Daphnia pulex: one gene and its partners. The protein of the gene in region 1 purifies or fractionates together with the protein of each later gene. This does not show direct contact. Links are inferred from orthologs where the notes say so. Each region holds a gene or a part of one and is shown in the gene's direction. Other genes may lie near its edges.

The links. The genes of interacting proteins can lie anywhere in the genome.
Region 2: the proteins of syntaxin-like (region 1) and synaptosomal-associated protein 29-like purify together in Drosophila melanogaster (affinity purification with mass spectrometry; 3 studies listed by BioGRID, with this or other methods). This does not show direct contact. The link is inferred for Daphnia pulex from reciprocal best matches to the Drosophila melanogaster genes Syx1A and Snap29.
Region 3: the proteins of syntaxin-like (region 1) and synaptosomal-associated protein 25-like purify together in Drosophila melanogaster (affinity purification with western blotting; 4 studies listed by BioGRID, with this or other methods). This does not show direct contact. The link is inferred for Daphnia pulex from reciprocal best matches to the Drosophila melanogaster genes Syx1A and Snap25.

What each region holds. Positions count from the first base shown.
Region 1 is NC_060028.1:8,243,177-8,247,270, reverse strand, and holds the start of syntaxin-like, read left to right. Parts: upstream 1-1,294; 5' UTR 1,295-1,492; intron 1,493-1,552; 5' UTR 1,553-1,653; intron 1,654-2,516; 5' UTR 2,517-2,998; coding exon 2,999-3,031; intron 3,032-3,143; coding exon 3,144-3,233; intron 3,234-4,094. Other genes in the region: F-box only protein 47-like, read right to left, coding at 53-94, 161-274, 340-429, 501-634, 704-899.
Region 2 is NC_060025.1:1,294,250-1,297,271, forward strand, and holds synaptosomal-associated protein 29-like, read left to right. Parts: upstream 1-1,217; 5' UTR 1,218-1,336; coding exon 1,337-1,657; exon of another isoform or gene 1,658-1,729; coding exon 1,730-1,831; exon of another isoform or gene 1,832-1,900; coding exon 1,901-2,326; 3' UTR 2,327-2,522; downstream 2,523-3,022. Other genes in the region: TBC1 domain family member 10A-like, read right to left, coding at 1-116, 187-283, 360-841.
Region 3 is NC_060020.1:8,651,190-8,655,383, forward strand, and holds the start of synaptosomal-associated protein 25-like, read left to right. Parts: upstream 1-1,394; 5' UTR 1,395-3,409; coding exon 3,410-3,562; intron 3,563-4,194. UniProt on the Drosophila melanogaster protein: May play an important role in the synaptic function of specific neuronal systems. Associates with proteins involved in vesicle docking and membrane fusion.

The sequences.
Region 1 (4,094 bases):
TAGACGTATAAAGATATTTGAAACGAGTAAACTAGAAAGTTTTATAAAATACCGAACGATACAGGAACAGACGATCGCTCAGGAATGTAAAAACCTGTGCCAAAAAAGGAAATCAAAAATAAAACCACTCCTTGTAACACACACACGTATAAATTTGCACCTTGAAACATTCTCCCTCGTCCCATCCGGCGATGAATGATTGCAACACAGCGCCAACGAAAGGGAGTGTATCGATTGAGTTGGCAGATTCTTTCTTTTCCACCAAACGTTGGACCTGCAAGTGGAGTCAACTTTTTGAAATAGGCAATCTAAAGCAACGTGAGAGAGTTTTTGTGTAACCGTTTCAATGTGGTGGTAGAAGAATTTGAGTCTGGAATCAACGGTGAAGAGGAAACTGGTGCGTTTCAATAGTTGACCAACGTGGAAACTCTGTCGATTCAGAACAACGTTAAATGTGAGGCACAAATTGATTCATGTTATTTCATTTAGGTGATAATTACGTGACGAAAAATGTGATGATTCGAGGTAGTCAATAGGCGAGCGACTCTTTGTGCGAAATCCTCTCCCATGATGTAGATGTAAATGACTTTTCCCATGGCCTTGGAGGAGATTGCCATTTGACTCAATTCATCCACTGAATAGCCAACGTATTTACAGAGTTAATCAATACAATTGCCACACTAATAAAAAGGGATATAGTTACGTGTAAGACAACGAAAAATGTAGAACATGAGGTCTTCTGTGAGTTTGCCGAACAGGGAATCTTTCAAGTCCGGAGCCAGATGTTGGTCAATCGACATTTCCATAACTTTTCTTTTCTTGTGGCCGAATTTAGACATTATGGACTCTAAGGTATGTTTAAAGCCTCTAGTCGAGGTTGATTGCTTCTTGTCGGTCATTTTCTTTAGATTAATTGTGTTGGTGCACTCGGGAGTAAAATTGGTAGGCCCACCACATCGAGCCGAGGAAAGACTAATGAGTTTTCGTTTTCGATAATCCCTTCCCCTAACCCTAAAATTCGCGCCCAAAAATCTGCACACGTGATCGACGTTGTTGCCAGTTCTTGTATTTATTTAATCATTCTTTTTTTTTAAATAAATATCAACTTATCAAGTATTCATTCTTTTTTAAATAAATACCACGTGGAGCCTTATTTTCCTGTTGAAAACAAAGTGCAGACTATAAATTGGATTATTTAGACTCGTTCTTTTTTCCTAAAACACAGATGGCTCTGCAAGAAGTAGGCGGGGTTTTCCAACCTCCAGAAAACGAGGTATCTAATTTTCCATCATTTAGTCAAAGTGTCTAGCCCTGACTCCATCAGACCACCGTGAAATTATTATTTTAATCCAGATGAAAGCATCCGCTTTTAATGTACGACCTTTTTCAAAAAGATGAGTTGCTAAGCTGAATGCAGTCAGATTCTTTAAACGGCTTTTTATCAGTTGGCAGTCCCCGTCCCCACACAGTCACACACACATCATCGTGCACGGTCTGAACGTTGCAAACTAGTCCAATATTTTATGAACATGCTCTGTATCATTTTCTGTAGGAGCTGAAATCTTCGTGTGTGCACAGGGTAACTATACAAGATCCCGTGTAGACCTTGTAGAAAGGACCGCCTGCTGCGACAGACCAGTCACGATCCGCATGGTATTTATTATTTGCAAGCAGCCCACGCAATTTTCTTGCAAATCTTTGACTGAAAAATGTCCTTTTCATGAATTTTTGGCTGGGGGGAGTGCCGAATGCATCATTTTGTCGATAAGCACTTGTGCACACACTCAGAGTTGCAGAGTCTAGGGAGTTTAGATTATCGCTGGTCGTGAGTCATATTCGATGACGTGCTGCTTATTATTACAAACCATGAAGAGATAACAAAACACAAGAAGGGCATTCACAAAAAACAACTTCGTTCGATCAAAGAATTCGGCTGGGTGGAGAAATGATACATGAAATAGACGTCGGATGTTGGCAGGCGGAAATGTATGGATATGGTTGTTGGTTGGAAGCGATCAAGAGGAAAACGGCGGTCGGCGATAGAATTAAATTTTGGTGTGACCTTTACTGTGTGTCTTGTAACGATTACGTATGCAAAATGCAGACAGGAAAAATATGACTTGGATTTTTTTGTTGCATCACGTTTCCACCAACGTTTCTTTGTCACCATTTTGTTTCCGCTGCCACGTTCCAGAACCAACAAATCAAGCCAAACCCGTTACTTGAATTCCATTCAAATTGTTGTGTGGTACATCATTGATATATATTTGTACGTGTCATGTCGTATCATTGCTCATAGGAACCTGGGGGAGTTCGTTCGGTACGATTAGAAATGGAATCGCTCTTCCATGTCACATACGTTTTTCTTTCATAATAAATCTATATATCTGTACTTGGGCAAAACCCCTCTGCATTATGAATGAATATTTGAGAAGTTTTCTTTTTTTAATGGATTGAATTCGATGTAGAGAAGGATGAATGATAAAATCAATTCGGTTTTGTTGGGGGATTTGTAGGTGGATTTCTGTCGAGTTGGCAACGTTGCGACAGTGCGGCCATATTGGTGGTTTTGACAGAAGAGAAGGGAAAGCTGACTATCCGAGTCGCCCACTGCCCTGTCGACGGCCGTGTCGGTTTCTCCTGTGACGCCCGGCACAAGACCCCCGAAATTTTTTTTTATCGGGAATCGAAAAAGACACAATTCATTCAGCAATAATTATCTGTCGTGCTAATTTTGTGTCCGTGTCTTGGTTTGCAGAAGGAAGAAAGAGCTGTTCTCGTGTCCTTTTTCCTCGTTGAAATTGTGTGTGTGTGTGTGCCCAGTTTGTCTGTCTTTGCCATCCGAAGGGAGTATTGATTTTCGGTGTATGTGTGTCTGAGAGTGTGAGAGCCCAGTGCGTGTGTGTAGCCGACGCCGTCTACCACTAACTATTTGGTGCTTTTTTGGGTGCAATTCTCTCTTTGAAGCTGTCGGTGGGATTGTAGGCCAACCCTCAAAATGACCAAGGACAGATTAGCAGCCCTCAAAGCTGTGAGTATACGTAACCATGTTCTCTTTGTTGTGCACAGCTCTTGTCGCTTGAAATTAATGCCTCGTAGTGCAACACTCATTTACTCCTCTTTTTGCATTCCTGCCGATTCAGGCACAAAGCGAGGATGACGACACAGGGCCAGATGATGTGGCCGTTACTGTTGAGGCCCAGGATGGATACATGGAGGCCTTCTTTGCAGAGGTAACTACCCTTCCGTTGACTTGTTTATTTAATCCCATTACATCTTTCAGCAGTTGGCCATAGCGTAATCATGGTCCGAGCATTTGCATAGACAAGACTCGAAAGAGATGAGGGACATGCACCTGAATAGATAGCACAAGAGTGTTCAGGTTGGAACGTGGAGCAATTTGGCTGATGGTGTTCTTTTCCGATGAGAGAGAGAGAGATAGCAGAGGGTGGAATTCATTAGCCATAATTGTGTTTGCGATTGGCTCTCATTCATGTTGGTAGTCTGCTTTTGATAGCGTGGCCAATAGTAGCGTAATGACAAGAGGCGCGGTAGCATCAGGAGCCCCTGATGAATTGCAGGGGGAATTGCATCAGCAGAACGCTGTAGAAGAGAGAGAGAAGCACTAGGCTTCTAGTCTTGAGCATTAAAATCTTGTTTCTTTCTTTCTCTCGTTGTTTGTTTCAAAGTAAAACTATATCCACCCCATCAGAGTGAGGCTTCCTTTCATCTACGACTGCGCAATCCCCTCTCGAGCTAAGAAATAGTCCATCACTTAAAGAATCTCGTGAACGAGGGGGGGAAAAAGTTTGCTAAGTTGTAATGATGAACGGCACACACACAGGGACACAACCACCATTGAGAAGGAAGGGCTTTGTTTGTTGGTTGACTGGCATGAAGACATGGTAGAGTAGCCTAGGCGTGCGGTAATCGAACGGAAGATGCGGCCGGGCGTGAAAAGCTGCTGGACATGTGATGGACGATTGGAATCGCTTTTCTATTTGTGTGGAAAATGAAAGAAAAATGTCAGAGGAGGTCAGCGATCTTTTTTGCGTGAGAGATGGATTCGATTTCATATGTGTGTGCTCTCATTT
Region 2 (3,022 bases), on another chromosome or scaffold:
AGTAGATCGTCGAACACGCCTTTATTCTTTTCCATTAGAACACCACCGCCGCACAAATATTGCCACGCTCTGGGACGGATAGAACTGGGTATTCCTTTCCTACACCTGTCTCTTACCTGTTGATTACAAATAATTGGGTGTTAATAGAAACATGAAAGACAAGAAAAATAAAAGATATTGCCAAACCTTTTTGTATTTGTATGTCATATACTTTTCCCAATCATCTAACATGTTTAACCACTTCAGCTCTCTTTTGCGAAAAATGGCAATCATTGCTGGGTTTCTAAATTGAATTCAAAATAAGCAAATACAATAGTGTTAAACTAATAGGGGATTCAAGGGAAACAAATAAAACTTACATTTCAGTGTCATGACTGAACTGAGATCCTCCAAAGAAACCATATCTGTCGGGGACTGTTGATGCTATTGATCCACCATAAATAACACTGCTGACATCATCATCAACATCGGTTTGATTAAGGGAACCATTCATTGATTGGTTCTTTGTAAGAAGCTGTCTTTCCTGAGATTGGAACTGGGCAATGTCAGGAGCTGATAACACTGCATCATCAACTCCAAGGATCTCTCTGCTGAGCCTGTTTTGTCGTTTTGCTAGCTTCCTATCTCCACTAGGACCCTGTTCACATGAAGGCTGACGGTAGACTGATTCAGAACTAAAGGGTTCTAAATCAATCATATTGATTCGTTCAAGTCTTTCAAGACTTTTTCGAAATGTACGTCTTTCCACAGTTGTTGCACTGCCATCATGGGCTGTTTCGACGTTGCGAAGGAACGGAGATGTTATCACTTGAAGTGATAATGGCTCGTGACGAGTGGCCATTGATTATTTCAAATATTTCGCAATTATTTTATCAGGAAATAAGGCACTCATGATACTGACACGTTCTAAGGACAGTTGCGTGACTTCACACGTAGATATTTTGATCACGGGAAAACAAGTGAAGTAAGTAAGAAGGGCTGCTATGACGAGAAAGAGGTGGGCTGTTCCCTCAGCCTGGTGAAGCCTCGCAACATTCCTTAAATTAGCTAATTTTATTAAATATTACTGATTCATATGAATGAATAATAATAGAGAATTATTTTTTGAAATTTTTAAATGAACTTAAAAATAATAATATGTTTTAATTGATTTGATTTATGTTACTTACAATTTTATTAAATCATTACTTTTGTCGTCGCTAGAGGGAAGACATCAAACCTTGGTTACGACTCTCGGCAGTCTCTTTAAAGGCCTTGACAGCTTCGGAGGGCATGCGAAAGTGAGTGAGCAACAAATAATACATACAAGGAAAAGTGTATTAGTGTCGAAAAAACTATGGCTGGATCCAGTGGGCGTTACGTCAAGTCTAAAGGTTCAAATCCATTTTTTGACGATGAAGACGACGTGGACGACGAAGAATTTCTACAAAGGGCACCCAATAGGTTCAATAACTTTGGAGGAAAATTAGCCAATAGTTTGTCGGGCGGAAATAACAGTTTCCAACCTCTGGACGGAGGAGAAAATCAGAGCGCCGATGAACGTAGACGACAACTTCTTATGGAGAAACAGAAAATAGAAGAACGTACTTTGCAGGCTTCAGGGCGAGCTAAAGGAATGTTGTATGAGACTGAGCAGATTGGAATCTCCACCGCTGAGGTTTGCACATAAGCTTACATTAGAAAACCACTTAAAACTTGATTCATTTTCCCCTTGAAAATACCCAACCAGGACTTGGTAAGGCAGAGGGAACAGTTAGAGAGAACTGGGAGCCGACTGGATGAAATGAATAATTCATTGAGGACTTCAGAGAGACACATACAGAATATCAAGGTAGTCTATCTATATTTTATAGCATTGGTTGGTTGTTTTTTCCTTAACACAGATTTCATTGATTTTTAGAGTGTGTTTAGCAGTATGAAGAACTACTTTTCTAAGCCTTCAGAGCCACTCAAAAACTCTTCTGAAGGGTCTTTGTTAAAGCCTAGTTCCAGTAGTAGTAGTAGCAATCTTTCCAAGGTACTTGAGCAAACATCATCACCGATTGACCGAGACTCACCATCACAGCAACAGCACCCAGCATTGAGGATTAAAGGACTTGAAAATGATTTTAGTCACAAACCTCTTTCCAATGTCGACGAGCAGCTAGAGCAAGATCTGGGTGACATGAGTTTGTCCCTGTCCCGTCTGAAAGGTCTCGCCCAGGGATTGTCGACTGAACTGGAAGATCAGAACACGTTGATCGATCGGTTGCAGACTGGTGCCGACAAGGCTGACTGGAGAATCCAGCGTCAAAATAAAGATATGGAACGTCTTCTGAAAAAGTGAAAACCCCACGAGTCCATGTTGTTTCCAACTTGTGATACACAAAGAATTAGAATTGAATGAAGAAAAAAAAACTCTTTTTGTTTTAAATAAGAAAATCTGTCCCCCTCTTTTTGCGCACCAAGGTAAATTGCCAGCACACTCCCAGTGTGTATATATATTATATATTCATGGAATAATACATTTAGGTGAAACACGGTCTGATAAAAAGAAAGAAAAAAATGATTATTTGCATGAATTCAATTGGGGATAAGTTTACTAGGTATTTTATTAGTATATGAAAATTTTTTCCTGAGAGTGTTTAATCATCCGCAAGGAATTTTGCAGATGTTGTGGAAAGATGAGCGGACGTGGTGATCGTGTTATTGCCTGTTTCACGATTCGATGATCATGAGAACGAAACGAGCCGGACGGTATGAATGGCAATTTTTTTTTTCGTTTTGAGAAACTTGTTTTAGTTGACAAGAACATATCCACACAATGTCCTGATGGGCCAGCTTGTCTTTGCGGATGTCTGCACCAGCTGTTATTACGGTTCATTTGTTGATTTTAGCCGCACACTAAATTGCCATTGTCTTCGTTTGGCGACTGTTTTCTGTTTCCGTTTTACAACAGAAGACCATTGGTCGGAGTTCCAGTTCATACAAACCGCAAACGTAGCACCTTGAAATGTGGAAAAAGGGGAATTGGCCGCACATT
Region 3 (4,194 bases), on another chromosome or scaffold:
ACAGAGTTGAAGTGTGTCTCAGTGTCGCAGTGATTATGTTGAGAGCATCATAACTATAGTCGAATTCCCGTTTTACGTCATCTCTTATTATTCTACTATTTAACGTACGAATTTCTCGCTTCTCGTTACAGGTGACTAACTCAAAAAGGAAGCGAAGATGGCGGCCGCAGTGGAAAATGGTGGTGCTCCCAAGACGGAATTGCAGGAATTGCAGATGAAATCAAACCAAGTCACCGATGAGGTAAGCCTGTCAACTCCATTCTCTAGATGAGGGCAGACGATCGTTTCACTTTCAGCCAGCCAAGTTTTCGTACGTCTAGTTCTTAACGATTGCCGTTTGACATCGGATAGCACTCGTGTCTCCGACATCCGAGAGGCGAGTGTGTGCCTGATATGTCAGGTCTGTTGATGTCGACAAGTCAACGCCATGCCCAGTTGCTGCTGGAATAGGTTAACTCGCAAATATTGACGGAAAAGTACTGAATAAAGGCTGGCCGTAACGGTATATATATTGCCAATGTCAGCAAATCAAATCCATTTATTGGAGTGAGTCAAGCCAAGAATGGAGTCTAGTTTGATGGGCTGTATGTTTTGATGTCTGAAGGCAGGGCGAAAAATGTTGCGAAATGCCCTTTTTTTATTTTTTTTATTTTGGTATTCATAAAACTGGGCCAGCCAATGTGGAAATGTCGCTGCTGCTGCGTAAAGGTGGAACTAATTCGTTGTTGGTACTTGGGGATGTTTGAGAATCTAACAGACTGAGCGCACGAGACCGTAGTTCGAAATTCGATAACTGCGTCAAACCGGATGCGCGCGGGCGCTTTGTGTGCGGCGCTGCCCCAGCGTTTTTGATCATCAAAGTCTTGTGCCTGCCCGAGCGGGCCGTTTTCGCCTCCCAGTCGCTTACCGCTTCTACTTGGTCCTCACGTCATTGTTGTGCGCGTGAACGGGCTCAACTTGATGCAACCGCGCCGCTTTACTTGACGAACACCCAGCTCTGCTCAGCTCTGCTCAGCTCTGCTCAGCTCTGCGTTTTCCATTGCATCTCGACAGATCGACCGAGCCGTTGCGAGTTGCTGTTGGTCCGCTTCCGGGAGACGGGACCGCATTTCCGGCATCTTTCATTCAGCATCTTCACAATCGCGTCAATTAGTTTAGCCCGGACCTCATTCCCGCCCGCACTCGCCCAGCCGGCCGGAGAGGAAGAGCCTCGTCGAGAACAATTTGAAGGAAGAGAAAGTCACACGGAGCGGAACACTTTTGGCGTGTGTGCGAATTATTCGTCTGCAAAGGGCGACGGAAACGGACTAGCGGTGTCATCGGACAGGTGCGCCGTTACAGAGCAGCCTGTTTCCGCCGTCCCGATCGATCCGCTCATCCCGGGTTTTTCTTTTTTTTTTCTCCCCCACTCCCCACTGGCAGAAAGCACTCTGAGCTGACCAAAAGCGGTGCTGTTTCGTTTTTCTCACCCGAGTCTCCGTCTCGACCTCCCAGTTGTCTCATCTGTAAAGCCGAAATTTGTGTCGTGACACCTGCGTTTTTTCCTTGGAACCGCCGACGACCCGAGATTTCGATTGCCCGCCATCCAGCCGAGTAACGTCTGACCCTCTTTTTGTTTGTTTTCAACGCTGTCTGTGTCAACGTATCGATCGTGAAAAACAGTAAGCAAAACAGAAAGTGAAAGTGGCGAGAAAAGTTGCTCTCCCCCTCTCCTTGTAAACTCGCTCATTGACGGACTCGCTCGATTGTCACGTATTTTTTCGACGACCGTGACGTACGTGCTCTGTCACTTCTTCTTCTTCTTCTCCTCCTCTACACCCACAGTCAACAACGGCCCCAATGTCTTCTTCATTAGTCTCTTTCTGCTGCGTCTCAGTCTTCGATCAGGTGGCAACTTATTTTCGGCGACGCTGTTGAACGATCGCTGGTGGCTGTGCTCGACCAATCTCCACATCTCTCCATTTCTTCCCGTCTCCTTTTTTGGGGTGATTGTAACCGGTCCTTTTTTGCCGTCGGACCTCCTTCCCAAGGGCAGCAACCGGAGCTTCCGACAAATCCACCACCAGCACCTAGATCAATCGTGAAACTCCATCGTCCCGGTTGGCTTCTAATTCCAGCCGAGAGCCAATAGACGACGTAACGGCGTCGCACACCCTCATCCGAACATTTGAAATCGAATCTTCCAATTGCACATCATTTACTCTCATCATATCCTATTGCATTTCTTGAGTGGTTGTTTGTTTGCCGGAAGAGATCGTTGTCGTGCCTTTTTCAGTCTATTTGAACTGGTGAAAGCATTGTGGAAGTGGAGAAACGCCGAACTACCTGGAAGTCGGATAACCCTGGAGTTCGTCAAATCTGCCCACAGGGATTGCGCGCGTTGGCTGACGTTACTTCCAACTCTCCCCCCCCCCCTTTCTCCAGTGGTTTTGTTGATGTAATTAGCGTCGCCCAAGTGCCCGTTCCTTGGCCTTTCTTTCGTTTCTTTCTTCCAACATTCATCTGACGTGTGCGCTTCTTTTATCTCTCGATCATCGGAGAGAGAGAGAGAGAGAGAGTCCCGACCGCCGTCCTATCTGTGCGTGTCGCACTCGTCTGTCGATATTTATGATGGCTATCCTCCGCGCCGAATAAGAAACTACAAGTCAAACTGGACTGCACGAGTGCTCCGACATTTTCCCCAAGTTGATAGTTTGGTCGCGTGCCGGACGTCACCGTTTCACTACAACGGACGTTTCCTGCCCTTATTTCGATTCCCAGTACTTTTTTCTTTCTTTCTCTCTCTCTTTTTCATATCCGTTCGTTGCGCGGCTCGGCGTTTTCTTCTCCGTCGTCCGACAGGAAAAGGAAGATTTTCCGAAAGTAAGAGAAAGATAGCAAGCTCGTGAGGAGTGTCGAGAAGTGGCGGAGCCTTAAGTCTGAATTTCCCCAATCGGAATGCACAACTGACGACGATTTGTGCCAAATCGACGCCAAAGGCAAAGATCGGAAATCCCGTGTGACTACCAATTTCCCAGGCCTTTTTACAAATGGTCGTCTAGAGGTGCCTGTCGTCGCCGCCGCCCGTAGGTATGGATCGCGTTACCATGGGAAACGATGACTCCGCCGACTACGTCACTGGTATCGGTATGTTAGCTGACTGCCGTCATGCACCTTCCACCATGCAACTCGTTCACTGAAATAGATACAACCAACAACCAACTACTTGAACTCCAGGAGGTAACCCAACCGCCGACATTCTATCGTGGTGGGGAGAAACAAACAAGTAAGCCGTCGCCAAAGCTATTGGGAGGCAAAGAGACGAGATAATCGTATCGTCGTCGGAGAACTTGAGCGTGTGTGTGTGTGTGTGTGTGCTGCTGCTGCTGCTGTTTATTGCGTTGTGTTCACGTCCAACCATTGTGCAATCATGGGGATCGAAACGGCGCCAGGTAACAAGAGTAAAGGCTCTTCGACGGCGGCTGCTACTGGACCCAACTCGGGCAAGAACCCACCGGCCAACCCTCCAGTTCGCCAGTTTGCCAATCAACTCCAACAAGATATCGAAGATGTTACCGTAGAGGTGAATATATCATGTATACGACCCGCTCCTCACCCAAAAAAACGAATACAACAATAAATATCATAGTTTGATACAGAGTAAGAAATGGCAGGACATTCTTCGTGCGCAATAGCGAGATTCAAGTCGATGTGTCACATAGTCTCTACTTACACGTCGGTTGGTGTCATAAGGTGACAGACAATCCATCAGTCCGTGTTAGGCGTTTTTTATTCAAAAGGTCCGAGAAAGGCTTTCAATGCTTTCAGCGGATACTTGAGCACGGAACTGAAAGAGAGATGGATAAACGCCACCGAGGCAACTGGATAGGGGGGCAGTTACAGAGAGACATATTTAGCGTCGTGCTAATCATCAGCTGTGCCCATTCGCTGCAGAAAAGATGCCGAACAGATAGAGAAACATGCAGCTGTGGACGAGTTTGTGTGTCGAAAACCCGCCTCTTAGCGTCATTTGCCAGGTTGCTGCCCCTTTTCCATTTTTAGAACACCTTCTTCTTTCTTCTTCTTCTTCTTCTTCTTGGTCTTGTTGTGACTCGGCCGGACGGCCGGAATAACCTTGTGCCGATCATCAAAGGCGCCGGTGTAGCGACGATAACGGCGCGAGACGAAAGATGCGCATGGGCAAGCACGTCAGAA